Anolis sagrei: one gene and its partner. The protein of the gene in region 1 purifies or fractionates together with the protein of each later gene. This does not show direct contact. Links are inferred from orthologs where the notes say so. Each region holds a gene or a part of one and is shown on either strand. Other genes may lie near its edges. The genes, in order: SS18 and BCL7C.

The links.
Region 2: the proteins of SS18 (region 1) and BCL7C purify together in Homo sapiens (affinity purification with mass spectrometry; 3 studies listed by BioGRID and IntAct, counting the BioPlex papers as one, with this or other methods). This does not show direct contact. The link is inferred for Anolis sagrei from reciprocal best matches to the Homo sapiens genes SS18 and BCL7C.

Annotation. Positions count from the first base shown.
Region 1 is NC_090024.1:58,264,976-58,281,178, forward strand, and holds the start of SS18 (protein SSXT), read left to right. Parts: upstream 1-8,270; 5' UTR 8,271-8,409; coding exon 8,410-8,478; intron 8,479-13,410; coding exon 13,411-13,487; intron 13,488-15,615; coding exon 15,616-15,700; intron 15,701-16,203. UniProt on the Homo sapiens protein: Appears to function synergistically with RBM14 as a transcriptional coactivator. Isoform 1 and isoform 2 function in nuclear receptor coactivation. Isoform 1 and isoform 2 function in general transcriptional coactivation.
Region 2 is NC_090026.1:14,292,570-14,308,328, reverse strand, and holds the start of BCL7C (B-cell CLL/lymphoma 7 protein family member C), read left to right. Parts: upstream 1-9,015; 5' UTR 9,016-9,770; coding exon 9,771-9,862; intron 9,863-15,759. UniProt on the Homo sapiens protein: May play an anti-apoptotic role.

The DNA of each region.
Region 1 (16,203 bases):
CACACATGCATCCAAGCATGCATGCATAAAGGTTTTTTTTTTCCTGGTGGAGGGGGGACTTCCTGATTGGGATAGATCAAACTTCTCAAGCAGAATGAATAGGAAACAGAGGAAAGACAACAGTACTGGTCTATCTGTCTCAGCTATCCTTGCCAGTGAAGGAATAAACAGCTAAAAAGAAGCAGAGGGTTGATAAAATAAATGCTTTATGAAACTGTAAGATTCTTCTGGCTTTTACTCCTTACATTTCAAGGTGTATATGTATTGGGGGAGGAGGGGAGTGAGAGAGAATGAGGACATTAGCACATCAGGGACTTGTAGTAAGAGATACTCTGGAAAGCCAAGCCCTATGAAGAGCAGCTTAGGGAGCTAGGTATATTTAGATAGGAGAGAGGTATGTTTGGATAGGAAAAAAGAAGACTGAGAGGGGACATAATAGCCATGTTTAAATATTTGAAAGGATGTCACATTGAGGAGGAGGCAAGGTTGTTTTCTGTTGCTCTGGAGATTAATAAGGACACAGAATAATTGATTTAAATTGCAGGAAAATATATTCCATGTAAACATTAGGGAGAACTTCCTGATGGTAAGAGCTGTTCAGCAGTAGACTATGCTGCCTTGGAGTGTAGTGTTGTCTCCTCAGGAAATTTTTAAACAGAGGTTGGATGACCATATGTTAGGAATGCTTTGATTGATTGATTGATTGATTGATTGATTTCCCATATTTGTACCTCATCCTTCTCACCCTGGAGGAGACTTCAGGAGGCCTTACAACAGGTGTGCCACAGGGTTCTGTCCTGGGCCCAGTTCTGTTCAACATCTTTATTAATGACTTAGATGAAGGTTTAGAAGGCATGATCATCAAGTTCGCAGATGACACCAAATTGGGAGAGATAACCAATACTTATTTATTATTTATTTATTTACTTTACTTGTATACCGCAGTTTCTCAGCCCAACAGGCGACTCAACGCGGTTTACAACAAGGATAAGAATCAATCAACGATATACAATTTAAAACCATAAAAGCATAATATACAATATTGACACAACAATATTGACACAACAGAAGACAGGAGCAGAATTCAAAACAGTCTTAACAGATTAGAGATGGACCAAAACTAACAAAATGAAGTTCACCAGGGACAAATGCAGGATACCCCACTTAGGCAGAAAAAAAATTAAATGCAAAGATACAGAATGGGGGATGCCTGGATCAACAGCAGTACCTGTGAAAAAGATCTTAGAGTCCTCATGGACAAGTTAAACATGAGCCAACAATTTATTTATTTATTTAGGGCTTTTATATCCCATCCTTTCTCAACCTCCGCAGAGGGACTCGGGATGGCTAACAAAGTGGCACCCCATGGCACCCCCCTCCAAACATAAATATACAATTAACAGCAATGTAATAATAAGAATATAAAACATTATAAACAGTATAAAACCGTATAAACAATGTGATGCGGCATCTAAAAAAGCCAATGGGATTTTGGCCTGCATAAATAGGAGTATAGCGTCTAGATCCAGGGAAGTCATGCTACCCCTCTACTCTGCCTTGGTCAAACCACACCTGGAATACTGTATCCAGTTCTGAACACTGCAATTTAAGAGAAATCTTGACAAGCTGGATTGTGTCCAGAGAAGGGTGACTAAAATGATCAAGGGTCTGGAGAACAATTCCTATGAGGAGCAGCTTAAAAAGCTGCACATTTTTAACCTGCAGAAGAGAAGGCTGAGATAAGACATTTCAGCCATGTATAAATATGTGAGGGGAAGTCTTAGGGAGGAAGGAGCAGGCTTCTTTTTTGCTGATCTGGACAATAGGATGTGGAACAATGGCTTCAAACTACAAGAAAGGAGATTCCACCTGAACATTAGGAAGAACTTCCTAACTGTGAGAGCTGTTCAGCAGTAGAACTCTCTGCCCCTGAGTGTGGTGGAGGCTCCTTCTTTGGAGGCTTTTAAACAGAGGCTAGATAGCCATGCTTTGATTATGATTTTCTGCTTCTTGGTAGGGGACTGGACTAGATGGCTCACAAGGTCTCTTCCAATTGTATGATTCTATGATTCTAGGCAGCAATTTGATGCCATACAATCATATATCAAATAATCAATTACAATTAAAACCAAACAATTAAAACATCAATTAAAATCATGCCACCCAAAAATCCCTACCATGTTTTTCCTGAATAGGGGGTTGGACTGGCTGGCTTTTATGGTCTTTTCCAACTCTATGTTTCTATGATTCTATGGAAGGAGCTTGAAATTGAAGGCATGGGGGTGGGGAGGGCAATGAACAAAGTTTTGTACTCCAAGTATTTTTTACTTCACTTCTCCAAACCCCTGATCATTGACCACACTGGTTGGAACTTCTGAAAACTCTGAAATATTGGAGCACTAGAGATTGAGAACCTCGATAGTGTATAAAATGTGAAATGGGCTGAGAGCTCCCTTCAAACATCATTTCAGCCATAAAACTCTTAGGGCCATCACAAGCCCACTGTGCTCTTCCAAAGTAAGACATTTTTCAAGCTGGTAGCAATTATTAAGGGATACGGGAGAAATAACCTACAGAACCACAAATGCCTTTGAGAAAGGGAAGGATGCAAATGTTGCTGATACAGAGTACCATCTTAAAGAACAAAAGAAAATCTTGGTGGACTTTTAATCTTAAGGGGAAGTTAGACAAGATAGTGCCATATTATTTTTTATTTATGAATGCAAGTAGGAGACTCCCTTTCGAAAAATAAAGCCAGGACTTGGAAAGATTTTGTCACTAGGGCTATGCCACATCCTCCCATTAGTGCTGACTGTTCAAGAAGATGTGTATTTCTTTTATGCCAAAATATTTATATTTGCCAACGAACATGTCACAGGGTAGAATCAAAATTTAGCATCCCTGCGACTCTCACTTGTTTCATTAAGATCTCTCTGGAAGATATCACAGACACTTCTACCTTTGTAAATGGGATGTTGCTTGGTAGTTCATTTTTACATTGGGACACAGAGGCCCATATATCAAGGGCTACTCTTTTAATATTCCATGCAATATCCAATGCAAATCATAAATGTCAAAACTAGAAAAAGCCAGGCAAGACAAAATAAACCAATAAATGGAGTAAATTCAAGGCATCCTGCCCTGTTGAGATAATCCCTTATATGCCATAAAAAGCATCATAAGAAGAGCTACATCCCATCACCCCACAATGCTGTTTTCATGAGCTAAGATATGACACCTCATTATCTATTATGCCAGTGACAATGGGAACAATCCAGGGAAAGACAGGAATACAAAATGTCATTGAAATCCATTCGTTTCAAGCAAACAATAATTGCCAAGGTCTGTTATCATAGGCATAGTTCTTTAGAAACAAGCCCAATTGCAACCTATATGATTTAATTCCAAGCAGACAAATTAAGGCCACGCTCTATGTCCAATTCAATGCAAGTTTTGATTCATCTTTACATATATTGCACCCAATTTGCACAATTGTGGAAAGAATCAGTCATAAAGGGACAAGGAAGGTTGTGTTTTGTTGCACGCATGTTAAATTTTCATTTCCTGCTTAGTCCCTAGAGATTGTTATGGGGCAAGAAAACAAAACAGACGCATGATGCTAATATGTTTTATTGTGTGTAATGCCAACGAGATTCTGTGTATCAATTGGTACTTCAGATGCTAGGATACCGTAAAGAATAATGACTGAGAAACCTTGCAGAATCTTTTGTGAAAGCAGGAAATAAATGATAATGACAAACAAACCTTCCAGTATCCTCTGTGAGAAAAGGAAAGAGGGGAAAAGCAAGAAAATCTAATTGGAGTTTATTGGCTGAGATTAAAGCCAGATCTCCCAATGAAATTATTTGGAAGAAATTAGGTTTTCAGTTACCTAATGTTTACCCTGTCACTTACCAAATACTGTACCTTTTCTTCTTCTTCTTCTTCTTCTTCTTCTTCTTCTTCTTCTTCTTCTTCTTCTTCTTCCATGAGGTGCTGCTTTTGAGGTCCAATTTGTGTTAATATACAACAGTCTTTAACTCTCTCCATTTCTGTTTCTAAACTCAGCACAATGAAATTCTAATGTAACACATGCAGGGTCAGTCTACACTATACAATTAATGCAGTTTGACTCCACGTTAGTTGCTATGGCTCAGTGCTGTGGAATCCTGGGAGTTGTAGTTTGCTGAGGTACCAGTATTCTTTTGCAGAGAAGACTAAAAAACTAAATCTTCCATGATTCCATAGCACTGAGCCATAGTCATTAAAGTGATTTCAAATTTCATTGATTTTACAGTGTAGAATGTACACTTCAGTCATCCAGGTATTTTGGAGTTCAACTCCCATAATTCCTGATGGGAGTTGAAGTCCAAAACACCTGAAGGGCAAAAGTTTGCCCATGCCTGTCTCAATGTAATTTGATTATCTGTTGACCTCAAGACGTAGACTGAGCCTAAGGGGGAAAGGGAAGGGGCCCGGGGCTGTTAAGAATGGTAGGAGTTGAAGTCCTAAACACCTGGAGAGCCAAAGTTTGCTCATACCTGGTGTAGATGAACTCGCGGACAATACAAATAGATTTTAATTACAATATCCAGAATCCCTCAGTGAATGTGGACACTGACTGGGGAGCTCTGGGAACTGATCTAAAAAAAATAAGTTTCCTAGGCTCCAAAGCATAGAAGTAGAGTTAATAAGGTCTGACTCAGATAGTGTAGCTATACTGTTAACAGTATCGTCATCAATATTTTTATTGTAGTAGGTGATTAAAACAATGTATGAAAGCACACAAAATGAAAATCCAGGCAGTAGCAGATGATGTTGCACAAAACATTATGCAACACTTTCAATATCATCAGTAACAAATTCAAAGTAAAACAGAGCCTCTGAGACAATTTGTAGCAAAACAATTTCTGATTCTCTCCTAATCTTTGTTATCCTCTTTTTATTGCAACCAAAGAACCACTTTGTATGTTATTTGTATTGGGCAAAAGAAATTGAACAAAATTCTACAAGAGCATTCCAACTTGAATCATAAAGGGTTTCAAACTCTTTCTGTAGGGTATAGTGCTTTCAGTGTTGGACTAAGGTGCATCTTCACTGTAGAATAAGAGCAGTTTGACGCCAGTTGAACTGCTATGGTTCAGTGCTATGAACCCTGGGTTGTAGTTTTACAAAGTCTTTTGCGTTCTCTGCCAAAGAGTGTTGGTACCTCACTAAACCACAACTCCACAGAGTCCATAGCATTGAGCTTTGACAGTTAAAGTGGTATCAAACTACATTAATTCTACAATGTAGCTATATTCTTAGAAAAGGTGGCGTAATGTTTTGTCAATCAACTAGCTCTCAACATCTTTTCAAAAAAAGAAATGGCAAAAAACACGAAAAGAATGTAGAGACCGTGAAATGATAGTTGTAGTTTTACAAGGTCTTTACCCTCCTTTGTCAAAGAGTGCTGCTGCCTCACCAAACTACAAATCCCAGGATCCCATAGCATTCAGCTGCAGTAATTTATTTCTCTTATTTCGTGTCAAAAGCATTGCATAAAATGGTTTATCTAAAACTGATAAAATAAAGGGATCACAAGCTGCTAGATAGTTTTAGGCCTAAAACAAGCAACAGACAGACCTTTCACACAATCCTATATCCCAGAATATCAAGGCAGGATATTCCACATCTATCAGTGATGTCGAGATCGTCTGGTTTGCCTACTCTGGAACATGCAACATATCATTGCCCTTCCATAGGGGTCCCTTTCAAATCTAGCATACTCTCTCTCTCTCTCTCTCTCTCTCTGTGCGCGAATCATATCTATCTATCTATACCAATGGCTGGATGGCTCTTTGTCAAGAGGGCTTTGATTACATTTTCTTGCCCAGGTGAAGGGAGTTGGACTGGATGGCCGTAAGTATTTTCTGTTGGTCATGGGGTTCTGTGTGTGAATTTTGCCCCAATTCTGTCATCGGTAGGGTTTAGAATGCTCTTTGATTGTAGGTGAACTATAAATCTCAGCAACTACAACTCCCAAATGTCAAGGCCTCTTTCCTTCAAAGTCCATCCGTGTTCATATTTGGGCATATGAAATATTCGTGCCAAATTTGGTCCAGATCCATCATTGTTTGAGTCCACAGTGCTCTCTGGATGTAGATGAACTACAACTCTACGTGGGGCTGCCCTTGAAAATGGCTCGGAAATTCCAACTGGTCCAATGGTCGGCAGCCAGGTTGTTAGCCGGCGCTCCTTACAGAGAGAAGTCAACCCTCCTGTTTAAGGAGCTCCATTGGCTGCCGTTCATCTTCCGGTCCCAATTCAAGGTGCAGGTGCTCACCTACAAAGCCCTAAACAGAGTGGGACCCACCTACCTGCGTGACTGCATCTCCATATATGAACCCACATGTTCCCTTCAATCATTTGGAGAGGCCCTTCTCACGATCCCACCTGCGTCGCAAGCATGTTTGGTGGGGATGAGGGACAGGGCCTTCTCTGCGGTGGCCCTCCGACTCTGGAACTCTCTCTCCAAGGACATCAGACAAGCCACAACGTTGGCAGTCTTTAGGAAGAGCCTGAAGACCTGGCTGTTCCAGTGTGCCTTTCCAGAATAGGAAACTCCTGGCATCATGTCCCAAATGCACTTTGTTAGTGATTTAGGAATGTCTGCACATTGCACCTACTTCCAAAAAACCTCTACATATCACCTGTCAAGTCTAGCACTTTTTAAATTTTGTCCATTACATTTGGCCCAGCCTTTAGGTTTTAAATATGTCATGGTGTCATTGTTTTTAGTGTTTTATTGTTTTGCTTGATGTTTTATTATTTGCTTATGAGTTTTACTGTTGTATTTGTATGCTGTTGTTTCTTGGTGGCCTTGGCCTTTGTAAGCCGCATCGAGTCCTTCGGGAGATTTTGCGGGGTATAAATAAAGTTAATAATAATAACTCCAAAACTTAGGGTCAATGCCCACCAAACCCTTCTAGTGTTTTCTGTGGGCCGTGGGAGTCCTGTATGCCACGTTCGGTTCAATTCCATCATTGGTGGAGTTCAGAATGCTCTTTGATTGTAGGTGAACTATAAATCCCAGGAACTACAACTCCCAAATGACAAAATCAAAAATGTTGAGTGAAGGACATACATTGGGTTGTTAGGTGTGTGCTGTCCAAATTTGGTGTCAATTGGCCCACAAGTTTTTGAGTTCTGTTAATCCCACAAACAAACATTATTTTGTATTGTCAAAGGCTTTCATGGCTGGAATCATTAGGTTCTTGTGAGTTTTTTCGGGCTATATGGCCATGTTCTAGAGGCATTTTCTCCTGACGTTTCGCCTGCATCTATGGCAAGCAACCTCAGAGGTAGTGAGGTCTGTTGGAATTAGGAAAATGGGTTTATATATCTGTGGAATGACTGGGGTGGGGCAAAGTGCTCTTCTCTGCTGGAGCTAGGTGTGAATGTTTCAGCTGACCACCTTCATTAGCACTTGTAGGCCTGGCTGAGCCTGGGGGAATCTTTTGTTGAGAGGTGTTAAGATGTGCCTGGTTGTTTCCCTTCTGTTGTTTTGTTGTTGTAATTTTAGAGGTTTTTAAAATACTGGTAGCCAGATTTTGTCCATTTTCATGGTTTCTTCCTTCCTTGAAATTGTCCACATGCTTGTGGATTTCAATAGCTTCTCTGTGTAGTCTGACATGGTGGTTGTGAGAGTGGTCCAGCATTTCTGTGTTCTCAAATAATATGCTGTTCATCAGGTACATTTGGGTTGTTAGGTGGATGCTGGACATACATTGGGTGGTTAGGTGTATGCTGTCCAAATTTGGTGTCAATTGGTCCAATGGTTTTTGAGTTCTGTTAATCCCACAAACAAACATTACTTTTTATTTATTTAGATAGATAGATGGACAGATGGAGAGAGAGGCGGGTTTGGAGTTTCCCTTTCGCGGCTCGTGACAGGAAAAGAGGCCCACTCTGGGCAAAAAGGAGGAGGAGAAAGAGTGGGAGGACACCATGCGCTCCCTCCTCTTCCCTCCTCCTCCTCTTCTTTCTGGGCAGGACCATTTGTTGTCGCTTTCAGCTCTCGAAGGAGGTCGGGTAGGAACGTACCATTATCACGCAGAAATGGGGGAGGACGACTGCCTGAGCGCCCTCGAAACCACACTCCCAGCCACCAGAAACAAAACGCCTGTGACGTTTTGGGACACAGTTAAATGAAACGCGAGGCGGGGTGAGTGGCTGTGTCCACTGAGTGAGGCGGGTTCAAGGCTTGCCTCCCCCCGCGCCGTGCAATGGTTCGTCCCAACGGGCAGCCGCTTCCTCCTCCGACTCGCTCTGCTCCTCAGAGAGGCGTCCGTCGTGTGAGGGGCGCGGAGAAAGGAAGGCGAAGGCGAGGAGCAGCCGGGGAAGAAGGCGGCGTGGGGGTCCTTCGCGATGTCGGTGGCCTTCGCCGCCCCCAGGCAGAGGGGGAAGGGCGAGATCACGCCGGCTGCGATCCAGAAGGTGGGCGGAAGGGCCTGGGCGGGAAGCGGGGCAACCCGGGTCCGGGAAAGGCCTCCCTCCGCACTGGCCGCTTAGACCAGCTCGCAGCTGGAGCCAGGAAACACGCTCCCCCCACAGCTCGCCCTTTAAACGCCTCTTTGCTCTCTGGCTTCTGTCACCACCACCACCACCTGGGCCTCAAAGTGGGTCCTGGGTTTCCTGTGTCATCACTTTCTTCAAACTGCGCTAAATGGTCAGTGCAGATGGGACAGTGGCCTTCCCGAAACCCAGGAAGGTAGCCGAGGCCCTGAGGGGAATGATGGCGAGAGGAATACACCCTTCTTGCTATGTGAATGGAGTCCTTCTTTGTTCCTTCCACTGAGGGCCCTTCCACACAGTCCTATCACCCAGAATATCAAGACACATAATCCACAATCTCTGCCTTGATCTGGATTATCAGAGTCCACACTGCTCTATGTCCCAGTTCAAAGCCGATCATGTGGGTTTTTATTCATCTGTGTGGAAGGGGCCCCAAAATATCAAGACAGATAACCCACAATATCTTTTTTTTTAAATCTAGGCCAGGGGTCCTCAAACTAAGGCCCGGGGGCCGGATGCGGCTCTCCAAGGTCATTTATCCGGCCCTTGCTAAGGGTCAACCTAAGTCTGAAATGACTTGAAAGCACACAACAACAACGACAACAATCCTATCTCTTGAGCCAAAACCAGGCCCACACTTCCCATTGAGATACTAATAAGTTTCTATTTGTTTAAATTGTTCTTCATTTTAATTATTGTATTGTTTTTAAGTGATTTTTGCACTACAAATAAGATATGTGGAATGCATAGGAATTCATTCATGTTTGAGGAACTGTAACCTGGCCCTCTGTTTAAAAAGTTTGTGGACCCCTGATCTAGGCTATCTTGAGTCCGCACTGCCATATAATTCAGTTCAAAGCAGATAACGTGGGATTTTATACAGCTGTGTGGAAAGGACCACATTGATCATTCCTTATCCCCAATTCTGAAAATGGCTCACCCCGCTCTCTGGATTTGAATCACCGACCTTTCGGTCAGCAAGTTCAGCAGCTCAGTGGTTTAACCCACTGCACCACAGGGGGCTCCATGCCTGGTCCTAATATTCCCAAATTGTCTTAATTAGTGGCATCTGTACCAGGCATGGAGCCCCCTGTGGTGCAGTGGGTTAAACCACTGTGCTGAACTTGCTGACCGAAAGGTCGGTGATTCAAATCCGGGGAGCGGGGTGAGCTCCCGCTGTTAACCCCAACTTCTGCCAACCTAGCATGCAAATGTGAGTAGATCAGTAGGTACCACTTCCGTGGGAAGGTAACAGCACCCCATGCAGCTTAGAAATGGAGATGAGTATGACCCCCACCACCTTTCACACAGCTGAATAAAATCCCACATCTGCTTTGAACTGGGATATATGACAGTGTGGACTCACATACCCTAGTTCAAAGCAGATATTGTGGGTTTTCCTGCCTTAATGTTCTAGGACAGAGGTCCTCAAGCTAAGGCTCGGGGGCCGGATACAGCCCTTCAAGGTCATTTCTCTGCCCCTCATTCAGGGTCAACCTAAGTCTGAAATAACTTGAAAGCACACAACAATGACAATCCTATCCCATCAGCCAAAAGCAGGCCCACACTTCCCATTGAAATACTTTTGAATAAGTTTACATTTGTTAAAATTGCTCTTCATTTTAATTATTGTATTGTTTTTAAGTGGGTTTTTTTGCACTACAAATAAGATATGGCCAGTGTCCCTAGCAATTCATTCATGCTTTTTTCAAATTATAATCCGGCCCGCCAACAGTTTGAGGGACTGTCACCTGGCCCTTTGTTTAAGAAGTTTGAGGACCCCTGTTCTAGGATATAGGGCTATGTGGAAGGGCCCTAAATGTCAAGGGGAAACCTTTACTTACACCAGGCATGGGCCAACTACGGCCCTCTAGGTGTTTTGAACTTTAACTCGCACAATTCCTTACAAGGCCCATGGCCTTCTCTGCCACAGAGTCACCAAACTACAACTCCTAGGATTCTCTAGCATTGAGCCATGCTAGTGAAAGTGGTGCCAAGCTGCAATCATTCTACAGTATTTGCTCTCAGATGGTTCATTATATGTATACTTCGTTTCATACACAATTAAAAATTACCTTCCAGCAATGTATATAATAATCAGGTGTGTGAAAAACCTGAATTATTTTCATGTTGAAACTTGAGCCCCATCTCCAAGCTATCTCATTGTGCATTTGCAGAAACAGGTACAGCTTGGCTGTCTCTTACCTGAAATGTTTGGAACCAAATGTGTTTTAGATTTTGTTTTTTATCTTTTCAATTTAGATTATTATTATTATTATTGCAATATTTATTTATACCCTGCTTTATATTTCCCAAAGGAAACTCAAAGAGGCTTAACATAAAAGTATTAGCAAACAATTTAAAATATGCAAACATTAAAACAGAATTAAATATAAACAGCATTAAAACATTCACAGTTAAAATCCATTAAAACATATTCAAAGTTAAAAACAGACAGTCCCCAAGTTACAAACAAGAAAGGTTCTGTAGGATTGTTCTTAAGTTGAACTTGTTTGTAAGTCAGAAAAGGTACATTTTTTAAGTGTAACTACAGCCAAAAATATTTATCTTTTCGCTTTTGGAGAAGGGTTTGGGGAAGCATCAACAGCTCTGTGGCGTTTGTTTTGCTGTCTGTGCCCCTGTTCAAAAGATTTCATCTCACTTTCTGTCCCTGTGAAAATTGGGTTTTGAAAAAATGTAAGTTGTTGTGGAAACAAGGATGGTAGATAAAACTTCAGTGGAGACACCTTTTCTCCATGATAACTCAGGAGTGGATTTCCCTTCCAAGGGGTAGATATTAGGCAATGCATATACAGGTTCTGTATCTCTTATCCAAAATGCATGGGACCACAAGTATTTTGAATTTGGGGTATTTTTAGATTTTGAATTATCTGCATTTGTATATACATATATAATGTGATAACTTGGAGATCCACATAGAAAATTTAATTTATGTTTCATATACATTTTATGCACATAGCCTGAAGTTAACTTTATACAATATTAATTATTTCATGCATGAAATAATGTTCACTGACGCTTCAAAAAGCAAAGGTGACACTATCTCAGCCACCCATATGTTTTGGGTTTCAGGATTTGGAATAAGAGATGCTCAACCTATATTTGGGGTTACAGTATTAGTTGTAAGATAGTGGCAGTCACAGGTCTCATCTTAGGTCCCATTCTCTGCTTCAGTGTTCGGCGCTTTAGAGTCTGCTGGGATCAGAGGGAGCAGGGCATTGCCTCAGGACTATATGCTTTAGTTCAGTGTAATGCTATTATAAATGGAATACAGTGTTCCCTCACTTATCGCAGGTGTTCCGTGAAATAGGGACACTCCCCCCCCCTCACTTCACCTTCTCTTTCCTCTCCTCTTTCCCCACCCTACCTCCCTCGGGCACCCATGCCACCCTCCCCTGGCAAGAGGGACACTTTTGTCTGTGCAGCCCTCCTCCTCCTCACCTTCCCTCCCTCCCTCCTTGCCTTCTTTCTTCCTTTGCTTTCCCTCCACTTCTCCCTCACTTGGGAGCTGCTGAGCTGCCAAGGGGAGAGGGGAGGCGAGGAGGAGGAGGAGGGCCATGCAGAGAAAACCGCGAAATAGCAAGTCTGCAGTAAGTGAACCGCAAAGGAGCGAAGGAACACTAGTTTGGAAAGGTATTATAAGCTAAACTGTCTGGAAAAGTAACAATCTAAGTTTTATGGGTTCACGGAAGGTGAGAATAGACATTCTTTCACATTGTGGGAGGGAGTAAGAAGGTGAACAGAACAGTGAACATACTATTGTAACTCTTAAAACATGTAGCTGTGATTAAATAAATATATATACTTGAACACTGGATTTGCAACATGAAATAAATGTGCATCTGAAACATAAGTTTGATAGTAGTGGGTAGAAGGCTAATAGGACTGCAACCATGTAATGCATAGCTTGCAATTACATGTGAAACTGGAAAGATTAGTAATGGAAATGTGTAGGTGTTTTAGCTTCTGGAGTTTCTTAGTTCATGACAATGGTAATTAATGTACTGAGAATGTAAAACTCTTGTTGGTACATGTTGCCGATACAAAGTCTCTTACTCAAAACTGTTTTGAAATCTAAAAGCTGCATTTATTGCATTAGTGCTTCCATATTTAAAGTTATTATCACCTATTCAAGTAATACTTTATTTTCTTTTCAAAGTTTTAATATCTAATTCTGATACAGTAAGACCCCGTATAGAGAAGTCTCTAGCAGTATTAGTTCCTTGTGTAGTTTAGAACCTCAAGTTCTAGCATTCTGAATTTTGTAGGGGAATGATATGCTTACATATGGTTCCATATTACATAGGCTAATCCCTCCACTTTCTGGAGGGCTGCAAGAAGAGGCAGGAAGTACATAAGAGAGAAGAGCAAATGAGGGGATTATCCCTTTTGCCCATTTCATGTTGCTTAAATCATGTAGGCGATGAACTTTTGAATTCATCTTGTAAACAAAAGAAAATGGCAATAAGATTCTCCAAGATTCTCCAAGATGGGCTGAGAGAGAGTATGGTTTCAACTGAAAGTAAAATGCTAATAAAGTACAACTCTACTTGTATCTAGAATGAAGAAATCTGTTACTTTGATAGGTGATAATTCCAAAATGACAGAATGCTTTTGGTAAATGTATTTTAATACCAGTAAATGTTAAATGTCTTAAGACCTAAAGTGAAGTTAGTTTCAGGAAGTTTAGAAGAATACCTAGAAATTTCTTTCCAGTTCAATCTGAATGTACACAGTATTCTATCTTAAGTTAGAATATTTAAAGAAACTGAATAGAATTGTATGTATGTTGAAGTAGATTAGTCTTATTCTTAGCATCTGTTTTGTTTTCAGATGTTGGATGAAAACAACCATCTTATTCAATGTATAATGGACTACCAGAACAAAGGCAAAGCCACTGAATGCTCTCAGTAAGTTGACAATCTGTATGTAGTGCATGGGAACTGTGGTTTGCAAGTGGAGCAGGTCTATCAGTAGCATGAAATAAGTTGTGCAAGCTAGCCTGTGGATTCTTTATGGAGAAACCAACCTAACATCAGGTTACACAGCATTCCTGTCAGTTATTCCGTTGGCACAAGTAACATCTCCTCCTGGGCAACTGACTTGCCCTTATATCTGTTTTGCGAAATACAGGTAAGCATAAGCCAGCATGCTGGTGAAGTACCAAATTGGCAAGTTAAAAGAAAAGCAAGTTCCTCCCTCTTGCAGCATTGCTACATCTCTATAAACTCTGCAAAAACAATCTGCTCATAGGGAAATTATTACTTTTATTGTTATTAGTCGAGGGGTGGTGGCCTCTCGACTCTGGAACTCACTCCCTAAAGACATCAGACAGGCTCCAACTCTGGCAGTCTTCAGGAGGAGCTTGAAGACATGGCTGTTCCAGCGTGCCTTCCTGGAATAATGATCCCATAGTACTTTGTCCTCCAAAGCACTTTACATTTCTTTAAGTCTGCTCGTATGCCCTTCCACAAACACCAGTATCACATTTGTCCATGTCCCAGCATTATTTCCAATTTTAACTCTACATTTGGCCTTCCTACTGTTTTTAATTATGTGTTGTCTTATTGATAATGTTATGTATTTTATTGTCTATGTTTTTTAATTGCTTGTATTGTTGTTATTATTGCTTGTATTGTTGTGTTTGGGCTCGGCCTCATGTAAGCCGCACCGAGTCCCTTGGGGAGATGGTAGTGGGGTACAAATAAAGGGTTATTATTATTATTTCTAAAGAAATGTAAAAAGGTGGGTGTTAGATAAACACATCCTATTCGGGGTTTTAAATGTGAAAACCAACACCCTGAAGCAGTTCCTAAAATAAATGGTTGCCAATGCATAAACAAATATTGTGTTCCCTTGTTATCAGTGGTCTGTTGGATTCTGCGTCAGCTGCTGCTTCCAAACTGGGCAACCTGATGCACAGTTTATATAATGGGTTATTATTACATAATTAATTTATATTACTGGACAGTGGTGACTGGATTTTTTTTTGCAGAGACTATGGTTAATTGTTTAACAAGCAAAACCAAACTCATTCATACAAGATTATATCCCTGTACCGTGTACATCAAGTTCTTTGGCATCATTCATTGACATTTCTGTAAAATTTGAGTGAAGCAAACTTGTATTAGATTAAGTTTAGAAAGCATAGAACACATCAGGTTTACTTGAAGAAGGATGGCATGCAAACCTTACTTTTAGATGTCCCTACATTTCTCATCCCTTATAAATCTCATAGTATCCCTTATAAATCCATACATCTCATAAATACATACATCTCATAGTATCCCTTATAAATATCTAAGGAAAAACCCAGAATGAGAGAAATTAATTCAACCTGCAAATGTCTATAAATATCCAAAGGAAGTGACAAATCACACCTTGCCATCCTGGTTTTGGCTGACATATAACAAAGAACTGCTAACCAAATATTTTAATATACTTTATTGTAAAACAGTCAGGCCACAATACTACATCCAGCCCATGGTGCTGGAATTTTTGACTCTGAGACTGGGAGCATGGAACTCTTCATCATATCTAGGCACAATTCAAATAATTGCTTATGACCTAAAAAGCCTTATATGGTTCTGGTCTAAGCTGTCTGAAGGACCATATCTTTGAATATGTGTTGAGCTAGGCTTTTAAGATCATTGGGAAAGGATCTTCTTTCAGATCTATCTTCTTTGGTGCGAACTGAAGAGAGACCCTTCTCAGTGGCTGCTCCTAGACTTCGAAATTCCCTCACAAGGGAGATTGGAATGACTTGCTCCTTGCTGTCTATCAACAAGTGAAAACCTTTCTGTTCAGCTTTTTTTTTTCAAAATTGTTTGGTTGATCTTGATGTTTTTGTATTTTTTTTATTTCTATGTACAATTAAATGGCATATATGCATTTTTAAAGTGCTTTAATTGTGTGTTCCAGTACAGGAAAAAGTTGGGATATAAATGAATTAATAACAGCAGCAGCAAAACTATTAACATATGCAACAAATTTGAATTTAGAATATATTCTTTTTTTCCCTCTTTTTAAAAAAAATAGATATCAGCAGTTGTTGCATACAAACTTGGTCTACTTAGCTACGATAGCAGACTCCAATCAAAATATGCAATCTATACTGCCACCAGTAAGTATTCTGTGACAATTATGTGGTATTCTCTTTCTTACATTAAGATGTAGTTAATGAAAGTACTGTGTTTACTACACGAACATGCTATTTATGCTTCCGACTGATTTTGTCTCATATTGCACATCCTTAGCCTCATATTTCCCTATACAAGGTATATTTAAAAAAATCATTGCTAGATTGATCTCATTAGAAATACCCTAGTAATTTTGAGATTTTTAGAGATTAGATCATCTATGTAATTCTAGCATACCTTTTTATGCATTATCTCTTCTTTTAGAAAAGAAAATACATTTATCAGTCACTCCTTAAAATATCTGTTTCTAGGTTGATTTCCAAAACTGCTTAATTAGAATGTAAATGTTATGCAGTTACTGGAATTATTTAATTATCACTTTCATTCCTGCCAAGGAAAATAAACATTATGCTGGTGAAAACTATTACATCATATGCTAAGATACCTTTCTGCTTAAAAAAAAATCCTCTGTTCACTGAACAACTAG
Region 2 (15,759 bases), on another chromosome or scaffold:
CGGTAGGGACGCGGCCACTGCCATTTTTGAGCTCCCCCACCATATGCGGCAACCACAGATTCTCCAATCCAGATTGAAAGTTTCAGCGCCTGCTGTATAAGACAACTCCCAGCGTATACGACTACTCCTGCGTATAAGACGACTCCCACATATAAGACCCCTGACTTTTGAGAAGATTTTCTTGGGTTAAATAGTAGTCTTATATGCCAGATATGGTGAATAAGTGTTGTGTTTTCAGGACCCCTCATAAGGTAGATATGCCTATGCTTTAAGAGTAAGGCCTGCCCTACCATTAGGCAAGAGTTTTTGTGGTCCTGAAAGTATAGTAGATGGTGAATGGTTTGCTTTGTAACTGATGCACTCTCACTGCCAGAAGGAGTACCAAGGGGATTTTCCTCCTTGTGTGTCAAAATAATATGAACTGGTTTTAAGGAGGAAACAAAAAAAATTAACTAAAGCAGACATGTGCACAAGGGGTTTGGTTACAAAGTTCAGGCGGTAATAAGTTCAACTCGGGTGTTTGTAAAGTTCAAATTTGAGTATGACGGAGAGCTTGCTACCACCACTTCCTCTCCCTCTTGTGGCAACAGTAGTTTGGCAGTTAAGCAGCAGAAAGAAATCCATCACTCAAAAGTAATACTGCCCAGCAAACACAGGCCAACGGCCTTTCCACACTGCCCTATATCCCAGAATTTCAAGGCAGAAAATCCCACATTACCTGAGTGTGGACTCAGACAACCCAGTTCAAAGTAGATATTGTGGGATTTTCTGCTTTGATATTCTGGGATATAGGGCTGTGTGGAAGGGCCCTTAGGCCCCTTAATGCACTGTTTCTCAATCTTCTCAACCCCTTAATTCAGTTCCTCATGTTGTGGTGACCTCCAACCTAACTACTTCATAGCTGTCATTTTGCTACTATTATGAATCGTAATGTAAATATCTGATATTCAGGATGTATTTTCATTCACTGGACCAAATTTGGCACAAATACCCGATACACCCAAATCGGAATACTGGTGGGGTTGGGGGAATTGGTTTTGTCATTTGGGAGTTGTAGTTCCTGGGATTTATGATTAACCTACAATCAAAGAGCATTCTGTGATGGAATTGAACCAAACTTGGCACACAGAACTCTCATGACCATCAGAAAGCACTGGAAGGCTTTGGTGGGCACTGAGCTTTGGAGTTGTAGTTCACCTACATCCAGAGAGCACTGTGGATGCAAACAATAATGAATCTAGACCAAACTTGGCATGAATACTCAATACACCCAAATGTGAACCGTGATGAAGTTTGGGGAAAATAGACTTGACATTTTGTGAATTGTAGTTGCTGGGATTTATAGTTCACCTACAACCAAAGAGCATTCTGAACTCCACCAATAATAGAATTGGGCCAAACTTCCCACACAGAACCCCCATGACCAACAGAAAATACTGTGTTATCTGATGGTCTTTGGTGACTCCCTCTGACACCCCAAGAGGTCCTGACCCACAGGTTGAGAAACACAGCTTTAATGGGTATGTCTTTCAAATCAGCGCTTGTATACTGGGACTGGGATGTTACATTTTGGGCTTCAGTTCCCGTTAGCCATGCTGACTGTGGATTTGGGGAGATGTGTTCTGAAGTGGAACCCTCTCAAGCTTTGCTTAGTGAACTGTCACGGCTGATGTACCTAACCTCGTGAGATGAGTCTGCCTGGGATAATGAAAACAAAAGGCAAAAATATCCCCAAATGCCATTACTCACTTGATACCCAACTGACCCAGCATTTGCATGAATGCCCCTCCGCCTGAGCCTATGGTCTTCCTGTAATCCCAAATCCTTCCTGCCCCAAAGTCACGCGGGCCTCTCAAATACTGACTCACCGAGGCCTTTTCCCTGCTGGACACCCCACAAAAAGCTCGTGCTGATGGTGACCCCAACTAACGCCTTTGAGTCATCCTCCCTGTGAACGGAGACCATGGGCTGAGCTGCTCAGCTCAAATCCCCGGAAAGCTGCTTTCGAAGATTACGCGGGCCTGTCTCACCGGCTTTGTAAAAAAGGGGGTGTGTGGGAAGGTGTTGTGAGATGCTGGGAACCAAACAAACCCTTAATTATACAGAAATCAAATAAACAACATTATAGATTACAAAGTTCTTGTTACTGGAAAAGTGCTCCAAAGTGGTCTCATAGTCACGTCCCTGCTCTCTTAGATGATAAATATTGCTGAGCTTGGGCAGAGCGCATGTTCTCTCTCTCCACTGAACAAAGTATTTCAAATGTGTCTGAATTCAACTGATACAGCTCATCTTGGAGAAGCAGGGTGAGAAAAGCTCCCACCAACTAAAAATATATAAAAAACAGAATAGTTGTCTGTATTGTCGAAGGCTTTCATGGCCGGAATCACTGGGTTGTTGTGAGTTTTCCGGGCTGTATGGCCATGTTCCAGAAGCATTCCCTTCTGACATTTCGCCTATATCTATGGCAGGCATCCTCAGAGGTTGTGAGGTCTGTTGGAAACTAGGACGTTCTTTCTCCCACCCTGGACATTCCACAGATATATAAACCCCAAATTCCTAATTTCCATCAGGCCTCACAATCTCTGAGGATGCCTGCCATAGATGCAGGCAAAATATCAGGAGAGAATGCTTCTGGAACATGGCCATACAGCTTGGAAAATTCACAACAACCTAGAAGAGTTGTCCTTTCTCTCTAAGAATCTCTAGGTCCTCCAATGTAGATCAATGGCCAATGTCTGCCAGTTATGCTGGAGGAATGTCTGCCAGTTATGCTGCCAGTTATATTTCTGGAAAGAACACATCTCTAGGAATCTGTAGATCTTCCAATGCAATTCTGTAGCCAGCTTCCAGCGGAAGTTGACCATAGAGTCATATGGACCCAGGATTCCTTAAGAGGTGGATTGATCTTGTCATTTGGGAGTTGTAGTTGTTAGTATTTATAGTTAACCTACAATCAAAGAGCATTCTGAACTCCACTAGCAATGGGATTGAACCAAACTTGGCACACAGGACTCCCATGATCAACGGAAAGCACTGGAAGGGTTTGGTGGGCATTTACCTTGAGTTTTGGAGTTGTAGTTTACCTATATCCAGGTAGAGCACTGTGGACTCAAACAATGATAGATCTGGACCAAACTTGGCACAAATTCTTAGTATGCCCAAATTCTCAATATGGTCAAATATGAACACTGGTGGATTTTGGGGAAAATAGGCATTGACATTTGGGAGTTGTAGTTGCTGGGATTTATAGTTGAACTACAATCAGAAAGCATTCTGAACCCCACCAATGATAGAACTGGGCCAAACTTCCCACACAGAACCCCCACAACCAACAGAAAATACTGGGTTTTCTGATGGTCTTTGGCGACCCCTCTGACACCCCCTCATGACCCCCACCATTGGTCCTGGCCCCCATGTTGAGAAATGCCAGCTTACATTGTTGAATGAATAAAGTTTGATGCTACTTTAACTGCCATGGCTCAGTGTTATGGAATTCTAAAAATTGGAGTTTTACAAGGTCTCTAGCTTTCTCTGCCAAACAGTATTGGCGCTTCTCTAAACTATAACTCCCAGAATTCTATAGCATTGAGCCAAGGCAGTTAAAGTGGTGTCAAACTGCATTAATTCAGCTGTGTGGATGCACCTTGAGTAACTGCGTATTCATACACATACTTCAGAAATGCCAGAAAGGCTTTGTTGGGGTCTGCATAGGAGCAAATCTATATAAATAAAAATGAAATGTTCGTTTGTGGGATTAACATAACTCAAAAACCACTGGACGAATTGACACCAAATTTGGACACAAGACACCTAACAACGCAATGTATGTCCTTCATTAAAAAAATTGATTTTGTCATTTGGGAGTTGTAGTTGCTGGGATTTATACTTCACCTACAATCAAAGAGCATTCTGAACTCCACCAACGATGGAATTGAACTAAACTTGGCACACAGTTCTCCCATGACCAACAGAAAATACTGGAAGGGTTTGGTGGGTAGTGCCCTTTGGTTTTGGAGTTGTAGTTGTAGTTCACCTACATCCAGAGATCACTGTGCACTCAAACAATGATGGAGCTGGACCAATCTCTACACGAATACCTCATATGCCCAAATGTGAACACTGGTGGACTTTGGGGGGGGGGAAAATCTTGACATTTGGGAGTTGTAGTTGCTGGGATTTATAGTTCACCCACAATCACAGAGCATTTTGAACCCCACCAATGATAGGATTGGGCCAAACCTCCCACACAGAACCCCCATATGGGCCACAGCAATGCGTGGCAGGGGACGGCTAGTGTTTAATAATGGAACACTTCATCTCTGTCCACTCAGAGGCAGGTTCCACTGAGATCAATGGGACTTATTTCCAAGTAAAATGTTTTTATAAGAGCTTCTGCATCACATCCTGTTTGAAACTAGACTTTGCAGTCTCTGATATTATTTTCACTTTTTTTCCACTGAAGGCTGGCCTAACATAAAGTTTGAAAAAACATAATAGTTTCTGTTCATTATCTGTGCTCTTTCGAAGCAGAGTTATTTTTGTTGCATAAGGAGGATGTAAAGATGTGAGATTGCAGAAATCATTCAACAAGTTGGAACAATTCCCTTTAGTTATGTGCTGTCAAGTTGTTTCCAACTTAGGGTTAGGTTTTCATGACCTAGCAAGGATTTGATAAGGCTTTTCTGTGTGGCAAAACACTTATCGAGGCTGGCAGATGTTTTGTGACCTTGATGTCATTCTTTGTTACTATTGTGTGCCTTCAAGTCATTTCCATCTTACGGGAACCTTAAGGCAAACTTCTCACGGAGGTTTCTTGGCAAGATTTGTTCAAATAGAGTTTGCCAGAAGGACTTGGGCGGCTCACAAAATATTCAAGGAATGAAATGCAAAATACAAGTGCAAAACAAAACATACAATGAATGCAACATCATAAATTCACAATACCCCTGGTAAAAATAATAAAATACAGCAATTGCTGTAGATAAACAACAGTATTCAATCTCAGAAGTATAAAGTGCTAATAAAGAATCTAAAGGTCCTCATATATATATTACAAGAGAGTCTAAACATGGTCAAAGCCAGGTCTTTAATTGTGCGTGGAAGGTTTGGAGGGTGGGGGGCAGCCTGTTGTTGTTGTTGTTGCCCTGCTTTCCTTTCTTATACTGGCAGGGTTGAACTAGAAGATTTTTGTGTGTGTGTCAGAAACAACTTGAGAAACTTCAAGTCACTTCTGGTGTGAGAGAATTGACTGTCTGCAAAGACCTTGCCCAGGGTACGGCTGGATGTTTTGATGTTTTCCCATCCTTGTGGGAAGCTTCTCTCATGTCCCTGCATGGGGAGCTGGAGCTGACAGAGGGAGCTCATCCGCACTCTTCCCAGATTCGAACCTCTGACCTGTCAGTCTTCAGTCCTGTTGGCACAACCCATTAACCCATTGCATCACCAGGGACTCCTAGATGATATCTTCTAACTCCATGATTCTAGGACAATGGAAGGGCGCTTCTTCCTACAGAGTACTTAGGCAACCTAATTATCCCAAAACATAGGAAGGTGTTCTCTTTGGCTAAATTCAATGTACTCCCTTCTGCTGTACTGGAGGAAAGAGATAACAAAGTACCATACGATGAATGCCTATGTCCCTCTGAGGCTGAGGCAACAGAAACTATGGATCACATTTTGTTGTACTGCTCTTTTTACCGAGACCTTCGTTAACATTTTATAAATCCTATTTTAGAAAGTTTATCAGGGAGATATGTAAAGTTTTATGTTGATTATCTTTTGGCTGACCAACACCCCAAATTACTGCTAAAGTTGCTAGCTTTTGTGCAGCAGCAATAGCTTGTCGTCACAAGATGCTGTCACACTCTTAGAAGGTTTTAATATTTACTCCAGTTTTTACCATTGTCATTTTGGCATATACGTGTTTAATACCGTTTTAACTTTCATATTCAATACTGGGTTCTAACTTTGTTTTTGACATTGTTTCTTAATGCCTAAATGTATATGTTCTTATTCTGATGTATGTACATTTATTGGTGCTGGTCATTGACCGTAAATAAATGTATATACAGTTTGAGTATCGTTCATCTGTAATTTTGAAATTGCAGATATTCCAAAACCGTTCTTAATGTTTTATGCCCAACACTAGCCATCCCCTGCCACGTGTTGCTGTGGCCTAGCCCGGTGAACTGGAAAATAAAGTAATGAGAAAGTGTTGGCTTCTAATATATGTAATTTCTTTATGCTTGTGGATAAACATTACTTCTTGTTTTTTTGGTCAATATTGATGTAGAGATTGTCTGGTTTGCCTACTCTGGAACATGGAACATATTATTGTCCTTCATTAGGAGTCCCTTTCAAATCTATATTATATCTGTCATATGTGTGTGTGAATCATATATATCTATCTATATCTATGGCTGGATGGCTCTTTGTCAGGCTTTGATTATGTTTTCTTGCCCTGGTGAAGGCAGTTGGGCTGGATGGCCTTAAGGCAGCATTTCTCAACCTGGGGGTTGGGACCACTGGGGGAGGGGATCACAGGGGGGTGCCAGAAGGGTTGCCAAAGACCACCAGAAAATACAGTGTGGTCATGGGGGTTCTGTGTGGGAAGTTTGGTACAATTCTATAGTTGGTGGAGTTCAGAATGCTCTTTGATTGTAGGTGAACTATAAATCCCAGCTACTACAGCTCCCAAATGCCATGCTCTGTTTTTCACAAACTTCACCAGTGTTCACATTTGGGTATATTGAGTATTCATGTCAAGTTTGGTCAAGATCCATTATTGTTTGAGTCCAGAGTGCCAGGTTTGGTTCAGTTCCATTGGTGAGGTTCAGAATGCTCTTTGATTATAGGTGAACTGTAAATCCCAGCAACTACAACTCTCAAATTACAAAGGTGTCTTGTGTTCAAATTTGGTGTCAATTCGTCCAGTGGTTTTTGATTTATGTTAACCCCACAAACAAACATTACATTTTTATTTATATAGACTAGCTGTCCCCTGCCACGCGTTGCTGTGGCCCAGTCTGTGTATATGTGTTTTGTGTGTGTATATATTTGTGAATATATGTGTCTTTGCATTTATATATGTGGCTTTGTACATGCATTATAATGTATATATTTTTGTTTTGTTTTGGGCTTTTAAAGTCTCTTCTGCTGTGTTTTTCAGTGTTTTATGAGTGATGGTCACTTGTCAGCCTGAGAGGCGTATTGTGTCCAAATTTGGTGTCAATTCATTCAGTGGTTTTGGAGTTATGTTAATCCCACAAACGAACATTACATTTTTGGGTTGTTGTATGCTTTTTCAGGCTGTATGGCCATGTTCTAGAGGCATTCTCTCCTCACGTTTCGCCTGCATCTATGGCAAGCATCCTCAGAGGTAGTGAGGGGTGTTGTTGATATTTGCCATAGATGCAGGCGAAACGTCAGGAGATAATGCCTCTAGAACAGTGTTTCTCAACCTGGGGGTTGGGACCCCTGAGGGGGTCGTGAGGGGGTGTCAGAGGGGTCGCCAAAGACCATAAGAAAACACAGTATTTTCTGATGGTCATGGGGATTCAATGTGGGAAGTTTGAGCCAATTCTATCGTTGGTGGAGTTCAGAATGTTCTTTGATTGTAATGAACTGTAAATCCCAGCAACTACAACTCCCAAATGTCAAGATCTATTTTCCCCAGACTCAACTAGTGATCACATTTGGGCATATTGAGTATTCATGCCAAGTTTGGTCCAGATCTACCATTGCATGAGTCCACAGTGCTCTCTGGATATAGGTGAACTACAACTTCCAAACTCAAGGTCAATGCCCATCAAACCCTTCCAGTGTTTTCCATTTGTCAGGGGAACCAAGTTTGGTTCAAATCCATCACTGATGGAGTTCAGAATGCTCTTTGATTATAAGTGAACCATAAATCCCAGCAACTACAACTCCCAAATTACAAAATCAATCCTCCCCCAACCCCACTAGCATTCACATTTGGGTGTATTGGGTGTTTGGTACAGGGAATGAAAATGCATCCTGCATATCAGATATTTACATTATGATTTATGACTGTTATGAAGTAGCAATGAAAACAATATTATGGTTGGGGGCAGGCATGTAGCCGGGGGGGGGGGGCTTGAGGGGCTTCAGCCCCCCCCCCCGAAATTCTCATGGTGGTTCGCGAAAAGGCCTTACTGGTGCATTATTTAAACTTATGTTTATTCATATCATGATCTGATCACCATACTCAATATATCCCATATGCATGGGGGTATTGGGGCAACATTACAAAAGGTTTGCTAGGCTAGACCCTCTTTCACTCAGACTCAGCCCCCCCCCGAAACTCAGCCCCCCCAAAACTCCCCCTTAAATTTTTTTAGCCCCCCCCCCCAAAACGAAATCCTGGCTACGGGCCTGGTTGGGGGTCACCACAACATGAGGGACTGTATTAAGGGGTCGCGGCATTAGGAAGGTTGAGAACCACTGCTCTAGAACATGGCCATATAGCCCAAAAAAACCTACAACAACGCAGTGATTCTGGCCGTGAAAGCCTTCGACAATACATTTTTATTTATATAGATTATGAAAAGTCATATGTATAGACCTTTGGGTGATGCATATAAAGTCTCTATGAAACATAAATGAGTTCTACGTTGAGACTTGGGTCCCATCCCTAAGCTATCTCATTATGTAACTGCAAGAATGCCAAAATCCAAAATGCAGGACTCATCTGTTCCCAAGCATTTCGGACAAGGGATGCTCAACCTGTAATCAAATGATAGACATCTTTTCAAAACCTCACTGTACGGTCTCTTCCTAAAACCTGCAGCCCTAAAGATCTCCTATAGCACTGTCGCTTAGAGTACAAGGGAATGGTGTTGAGTCACCAGATGTGTATCTGCAAATGTGTTATTTGTTTCTTCTTTTTTCTCTTTCTTATCTGCATCTCCACCTGCAGGATGCAATCCTAAAAAGAGTCAAGTCAGGAGACTTTTCTGGCTTCTCCTAGTCAGCAGATGGCGCTCCTTTAGTTACAAATCTCTATTGGAAAGAGACAGAAAAAAACCACAGAAAGAACTATATTATTTTCTTCCGATGGTGAACTGCCTTTTTTCCGTTCTCTCTTTTTTTTGTCTTCCCCTTTTTGTGTGTGTGTGTGTGTGTGCAAAGGCTGGACAGGAAAAGAAGACAAAAGAGGAGGAAGTCCAGACCGGCAGAAGCTCAAGAGGAAGAGAGATGTGCAGGAGAAGGCTTGAATAAAAAAGAAGAAGAAGAGAGAAAGAGAGAAAAGGAGGGGGGAGAGAAAAGGAGAAATTGTTGACACATCATTGACAGAGGAGGACCGCTTGATGGAGAAGCTGTGGCGAGATAGATGGAGGACCGAGTGACGCAGATGCTTTCCAGCACTGTGATTCCTGCAGTGAGCAAAAACAGGTAGAGAGGAGGGAGAGGAACAGGTAGAAAGAAAGAAAAAGATAGATAGAAAGAAAAGAGAAACAGCAAGGGAAGTGTGAGATGGGATAAAGGGAATGGACAAGCATCAACACAAGATTGCCAAGTAAATAAATACAGAGTCTTGTCATCTTCTCCGAATCCAGCTGGAATACCATCACACTCCAAAAGTTGGACCAAAAGAAAAAGAAGAAAGAGTAAAGAAAGAGTGAAATGGGATAAAGGGAACGGGCAAGCTTAAGCCAAAGGTTGCGATCCAGCTTGGAAGCCAAGATTCTTATTATCTACCCCACATCCACCTCTGACATCAACACAACCCCAAAAGTTGGACCCCGATGTCGGGACGGGCGGTTCGAGCAGAGACGCGGAGCCGGGCGAAAGATGACATCAAGAAAGTGATGGCAGCCATCGAACATGTCCGGAGATGGTGAGGCCCAAGGCTTGATTATAGTATTTGTTGACAGTGGTCCAACTTTGGCCAGAAATGTAGTTAAATGTATTGTCGAAGGCTTTCATGGCCAGAATCATTGGTTTGTTGCAGGTTTTTTCGGGCTATATGCCTGCATCTATGGCGAGCATCCTCAGAGGTAGTGAGGATACCTCTGAGGATGCTTGCCTCACTACCTCTGAGGATGCTTGTCATAGATGCAGGCGAAACGTCAGGAGAGAATGCCTCTCAACCATGGCCATATAGCCCAGAAAAACCTACAACAACCCTGTAGTTAAATGGGTTGTCTTAAGTTTTTCGGGCTGTATGGCTATGTTCTAGAAGCATTCTCTCCTGCCGTTTCGCCTGCATCTGTGGCAGGCATCCTCAGAGGTTGTGAGGTCTGTTGGAAGCTAGGAAAATGGGGTTTATATATCTGTGGAAGGTCCAGGGTGCTTCAGAGCACTTGATGAACATAATGCCTGCCACAGATGCAGGCAAAACGTCAGGAGACAATGCTTCTAGAACATAGCCATACAGCTCGAAAAAAATTACAACAACCCAGTGATTCCTGCCATGAAAGCCTTTGACAATACAAATGTGGTTAACGTAGGCAAACCTATCTATTTTTGGTCAGTCATCAGATCACTGCAGTAAGTGTTTTATTGGGACTTCACAGGGACCTGGCAACCTTATATTATTTCTGTGTTGTGGGTACATTGTTGGACCTCCAAACCAAGCTTCCAAGGTGTGGGGCACAGGATTAATTTAATGTGTCTTTATTATTGTTTGCCATGCCCCTATCTACACTGCCATGTAATGCAGTATGAAATTACATTATATCAGGTATGGGCAAACTTTGGCCTTCCAGGTGTTTTGGACTTCAACTCCCACAATTCCTAACAGCCGGAGTTGAAGTCCAAAACACCTGGAGGGCTGAAGTTTACCCATGCCTGCTTTGTATGGTTAGCGTAGACTCATATAATGCAGTTCAGTGCAGTTAAACTGCATTCTAGAGTGGGCTGGATCCAAATTTAATTTGTATTTCCCCCCCTAAGGAACTGGTTACAGTTTAGAAAAGTTACTCTTAAAATTATACCTCCTAGAACTGTCATTATGCCAGCCAACAGGGAAAACATGCATGCTGCCTGATTGGGAAGGAGTTCTAGGAACTATAGTCCAAAAAAAGAGCAACTTGCAAGCTTTGTATTAAACGACTATGACTAAACTGCAGTGGTGCAACATATCTGATGCAACCACATTATTCTTTCTCTAAGGAGAGGTAAATACCCGTTTTTAGATGGGTTGTGAGTTCTTCGGTGTATGCAGTTTGTGCAGGTGGTCGTTATTGTTGTTAGTATAATATTTATTTATACCTCACTATCCTCTAATTCAGTGTTTCTCAACCTGGGGGTCAGGACTCCTGGGGGGGTCGCAAAGGGGTGTCTGAGGGGTCACCTCGCAACCAATTTTCTGTAGGTCATGGATTTCTATGTGGGATGTTAGGCCCAGTTCTATTGTTGATGGAGTTCAGAATGCTCTTTGATTGTAGGTGAACTATAAATCCCAGCAACTACAACTCCCAAATGTCAATTCCCCAAACTCCACCAGTATTCACATTTGGGCATATTGAGTATCCAAGCCAAGTTTGGTCCAGATCAATCATTGTTTGAGTCTGCAGTGCTCTCTGGATGTAGGTGAACTACAGCTCCAAAGCTCAAGGCCAATGCTCACTGAACCCTTCCAGGATTTTCTCTTGGTCGTGGGAGTTCTGTGTGCCAGGTTGGTTCAATTCCATCGTTGGTAGAGTTCAGAGTGTAGGTGAACTATATATCCCAGCAACTACAACTCCCAAATGACAAAATCATCCCCCTCCCCCAACCCCAGCAGAATTCAAATTTGGCCGTATTGGGTATTTGTGCCAAATTTCGTCCAGTGAATGAATACATTCTGCATATCAGAGATTTACATTACGATTCATAACAGTAGCAAAATTATAGTTACGAAGTAGCAATAAAAATAATTTTATGGTTGGGGGGCACCACAACATGAGGAACTATATTAAGGGGTCGCGGCATTAGGACGGTTGAGAACCACTGCCCTAAAAGCACCAGATTCCATCTATCGAAAGCCTAGCAGGGTCAGTTCTGGCTAGTATTTGGATGGGAGAGCATCAACAAATATGAGCTGTATTTCAGAGGAAGGAATTAACAAAACCTATAGATTCCATATGTACAGAATCATAGAATCATTGAGTTGGAAGAAATCCCAAGGGGTTTCCAGTCTAAACCCATTCAGTTGTGTAAGTGTTATTAGGAAGGTTGAGAGCCACTGTGCTAATTAAATGAAACTCAAAGGTTGGGGTTGTTTCTGTTTTAGTATAGTTGTATGCCAATCTGTTTGGGCAATATTTCTCATCTTGTCCACCAAAAAGTCCTTGATAGGATGGAATGGGATTGCCTTGTCTACTTTTCCGGAAAGGTTCATTTTACATGCAATAAAACGGGCGCTTGCAGTGCCACAGTTGCACTTTCTGCCCACCCAAACATGACCCAGCTGATACATGTGCAGTGGATTGGATGGGAGGAGACTAATGCTCTGAATTAGTTAAGAGACCGCAAAAGAACCGGAGTTATTATGGCAATATAGGGACTGTCCCCCAAGTGGCCTTTTGTATTGGTTTTGCCATTCAAGTTAGAAGAAAAGTAGAGGGGGGAAATGGCCTGTTAATATTCATCTTAAGACCTTCTGCAGATTTTCCAGCTAGGAAAGAGTATATTTATTTATTTATTTATGTATTTATTTAATTTGCTACATTTGTATACCACCCCTCAGCCCGCAGGCGACTCAAGGCAGTTCACAAGGCAACAATTCAATGCCAACAAGATCATAAAAACGTTAAAACATTTAAATGCATTAACACATCAATTAAGACCATAACAGTAGCTATATATATATATATATATAGAGAGAGAGAGAGAGAGAGAGAGAGAGAGGAAAGTGTGTGTGTGTGTGTGTATCTATATATATGGGGGGGGGGGGAGGCCCAGTGGCACAGTGGGTTAAACCGTTGCGCTGCTGAGCTTGTTGACCAAAAGGTCGCAGGTTCAAATCAGGGGAGCAGCATAAGCTTTCGGTGTCAGCACCAGCTTCTGCCAACCTAGCAGTTCAAAAACATGCAAATGTGAGTAGATCAATAGGTACCACTCCGGTGGGAAGGTAGCAGTGCTCCGTGCAGTCATGCCGGCCACATGACCTTGGAGGTGTCTACGGCAGCTCTTCAGCTTTGAAATGGAGATGAGCATCACACCCCACAGTCGGACACGACTGGACTTAATGCCCTATATTTACCTCGATCTATCGATCTATCTATCTATCTATCGATCTATCTATCTATCTATCTATCTATCTATCTATCTATCTATCTACCAGATTTCCGGATTGTCTTCAAAATAACAACAACAACAATGGGAAATAGTGGGAAATTCTACATTCCTCTTCTCAAGCCACAAAGTGCTTTTAATGTACATCATAGTTAAAAATGGCATAACTTCCACATTTCCATAGGAAAAATAACCCAGGACATATGTGGTCAACCAACATCAGAATATGGTCAGAAATGCAAAGGTTATGAATGAGGAAGAACACACAATCCAGGAGATTTCTTATTCTTGCTGAGCAAATTGAGTCCAAACTACTTCTACACTTTGAACTCATTTGCAGAAGAGGGAAAGCGGGAGTCGGAAGGAGAAACTGGGACATGTTACAAGCATCTGAAAAAGTGGGAGGGCAGAGGGTTAAATGGGACACTTCCTGCCCAACCAGGACAATTGGAGGGTACGAAATGGATGAACTCCATCCAAACAGTTTCTGTCGCTTGCATCAAATAGCTCTACCTTTCTGAAAACAACAAGAAAGCTTGACGATACCTCTTGGTTCCTTTATGCTTACCTTGTAAGGTGCCTTGAGTTCCGTGCCAGGAGAAAAGCATAAATAAAATCCAATAAATACCCTGCTCCATTCATACAGTCGGAGTAGGCAGAAGCCACGCTCCTCTACCCCACCCTGTTGGGCTCACTTAAGCATGATAAGAGGAAAAGTGATCTTTGAAGATCCATGCTCCAAACATACAACTTCATTATTAAAGTAGCTGTACTGGTTTCTGTTTGTTTCTGGGCTCATTTCAAAGAGCTGGCCATAATCCCAATGGCCCCAAACAGTCTGGGTTTCTGATAGGCCAAAGGACATCTCCTTTTGCATGAGCCGGATTGAGCGCTTTGCTCAACAACAGGGCTTGAGGTTCAAAGAGGAGGAATAACAATTCCTTGATGTCCAGGCATTGAGAGTCTTATTGGTATATGGTGGAATTACCAGCAGGTCGGAAGGAATCTTGAGTACCCAAAAGCTTTTAGATAGGGATGAACAAAGAGCAAACTTTGGAAATGGTGTGTATGTATGTTTTGTCATTGTTGTGTGCCTACAAGTCATTTCCAGTTTATGGTGGCCCTAAAGCAAATCTATCAAGGTCAGCGAGTGTGTTTTCATGGCCAAATAGGGATTCAAATCCTTTTCCCGAGTTGTAGTCTTGTGCGCCAGCTGCGCCCATACCTTGGGAAGTCTGACTTGGCTATGGTAGTCCATGCTCTAGTTACATCTCGTATAGACTACTGCAACGCTCTCTACGTGGGGTTGCCTCTGAAGACTGCTCGGAAGCTTCAAATGGTCCAACGATCGGCAGCCAGGTTACTAACAGGAGCGGCACTCAGGGAGCATGCAACTCCTCTGTTGCACCAGCTCCACTGGCTGCCAATTTGCTACCGGGCACAATTCAAAGTGCTGGCTTTAGCCTTTAAAGCCCCAAACGGTTCTGGCCCGACCTATCTGTCCGAACGCATCTCTTCCTATGAACCAGTTAGGACGTTAAGATCTTCTGGGGAGGCCCTGCTCTCGGTCCCGCCGGCCTCACAAGCATGCCTGGTGGGGATGAGAGACAGGGCCTTCTCAGTAGTGGCCCCTCGGCTGTGGAACGCCCTTCCTACAGACATCAGATCGGCCTCCTCCTATCTGGCATTCCGGAAGAGAGTGAAGACATGGCTCTTCAAACAGGCTTTCAACTAAGCAGTGCAATTGATTGACTATTGGAATATGGATTAATGGACAATGATAGTAGATGCTGATTCAGTCATGAGACATGATGGATTGTTATTTTGTTTATTGTTGTATTGATGTTTTGATGTTAATTAATTGATATTGCTGTTTTAATTGACTAATGATCTGTTTTGTACTGTTGATTTGGTTGTTAACCGCTCTGAGTCGCCTGAGGGCTGAGAAGAGCGGTATATAAATGAAGTAAATAAATAAAATAAATAGTCCATGCTCGAACCAAAGTGAGGGCATTTCCCCTCTAATAAGAATTATTTCCCTCCTCAACAAATTCATCCCCAAATTTCCAGCGTTGTATTATTTATTGATTTATCGTGTCAGAAGCAAATTGAGGGTACCATTGTAATGTATTTAAAAAACACGAAGTTAAAAACTTGACATTATACTAAATGTCCTTCGACCAGTAGCTGACCACTTGGAGTGCCTCTGGTGCTGTAAGAAGGTCCCGCATTGTGCATGTGGTAGGACTCAGATTGCATTGTAATAGGTGGCCTGTGGTTTGCTCTTCTCAACACTCACATGTCGTGGACTCCACTTTGTGGACCCATTTCTTAAGGTTGGCGCTGTATCTCGTGGTGCCAGAGTGCAGTCTGTTCCGTGTCTTCCAAGTCGCCCAGTCTTTTGTGTGCCTAGGAGGGAGTCTCTCATTCAGTATCAGCCATGGATTGAGGTTCCAGGTTTTAGCCTGCCACTTTTGGACTCTCGCTTGCTGGGGTATTCCTTTAAGTATCTCT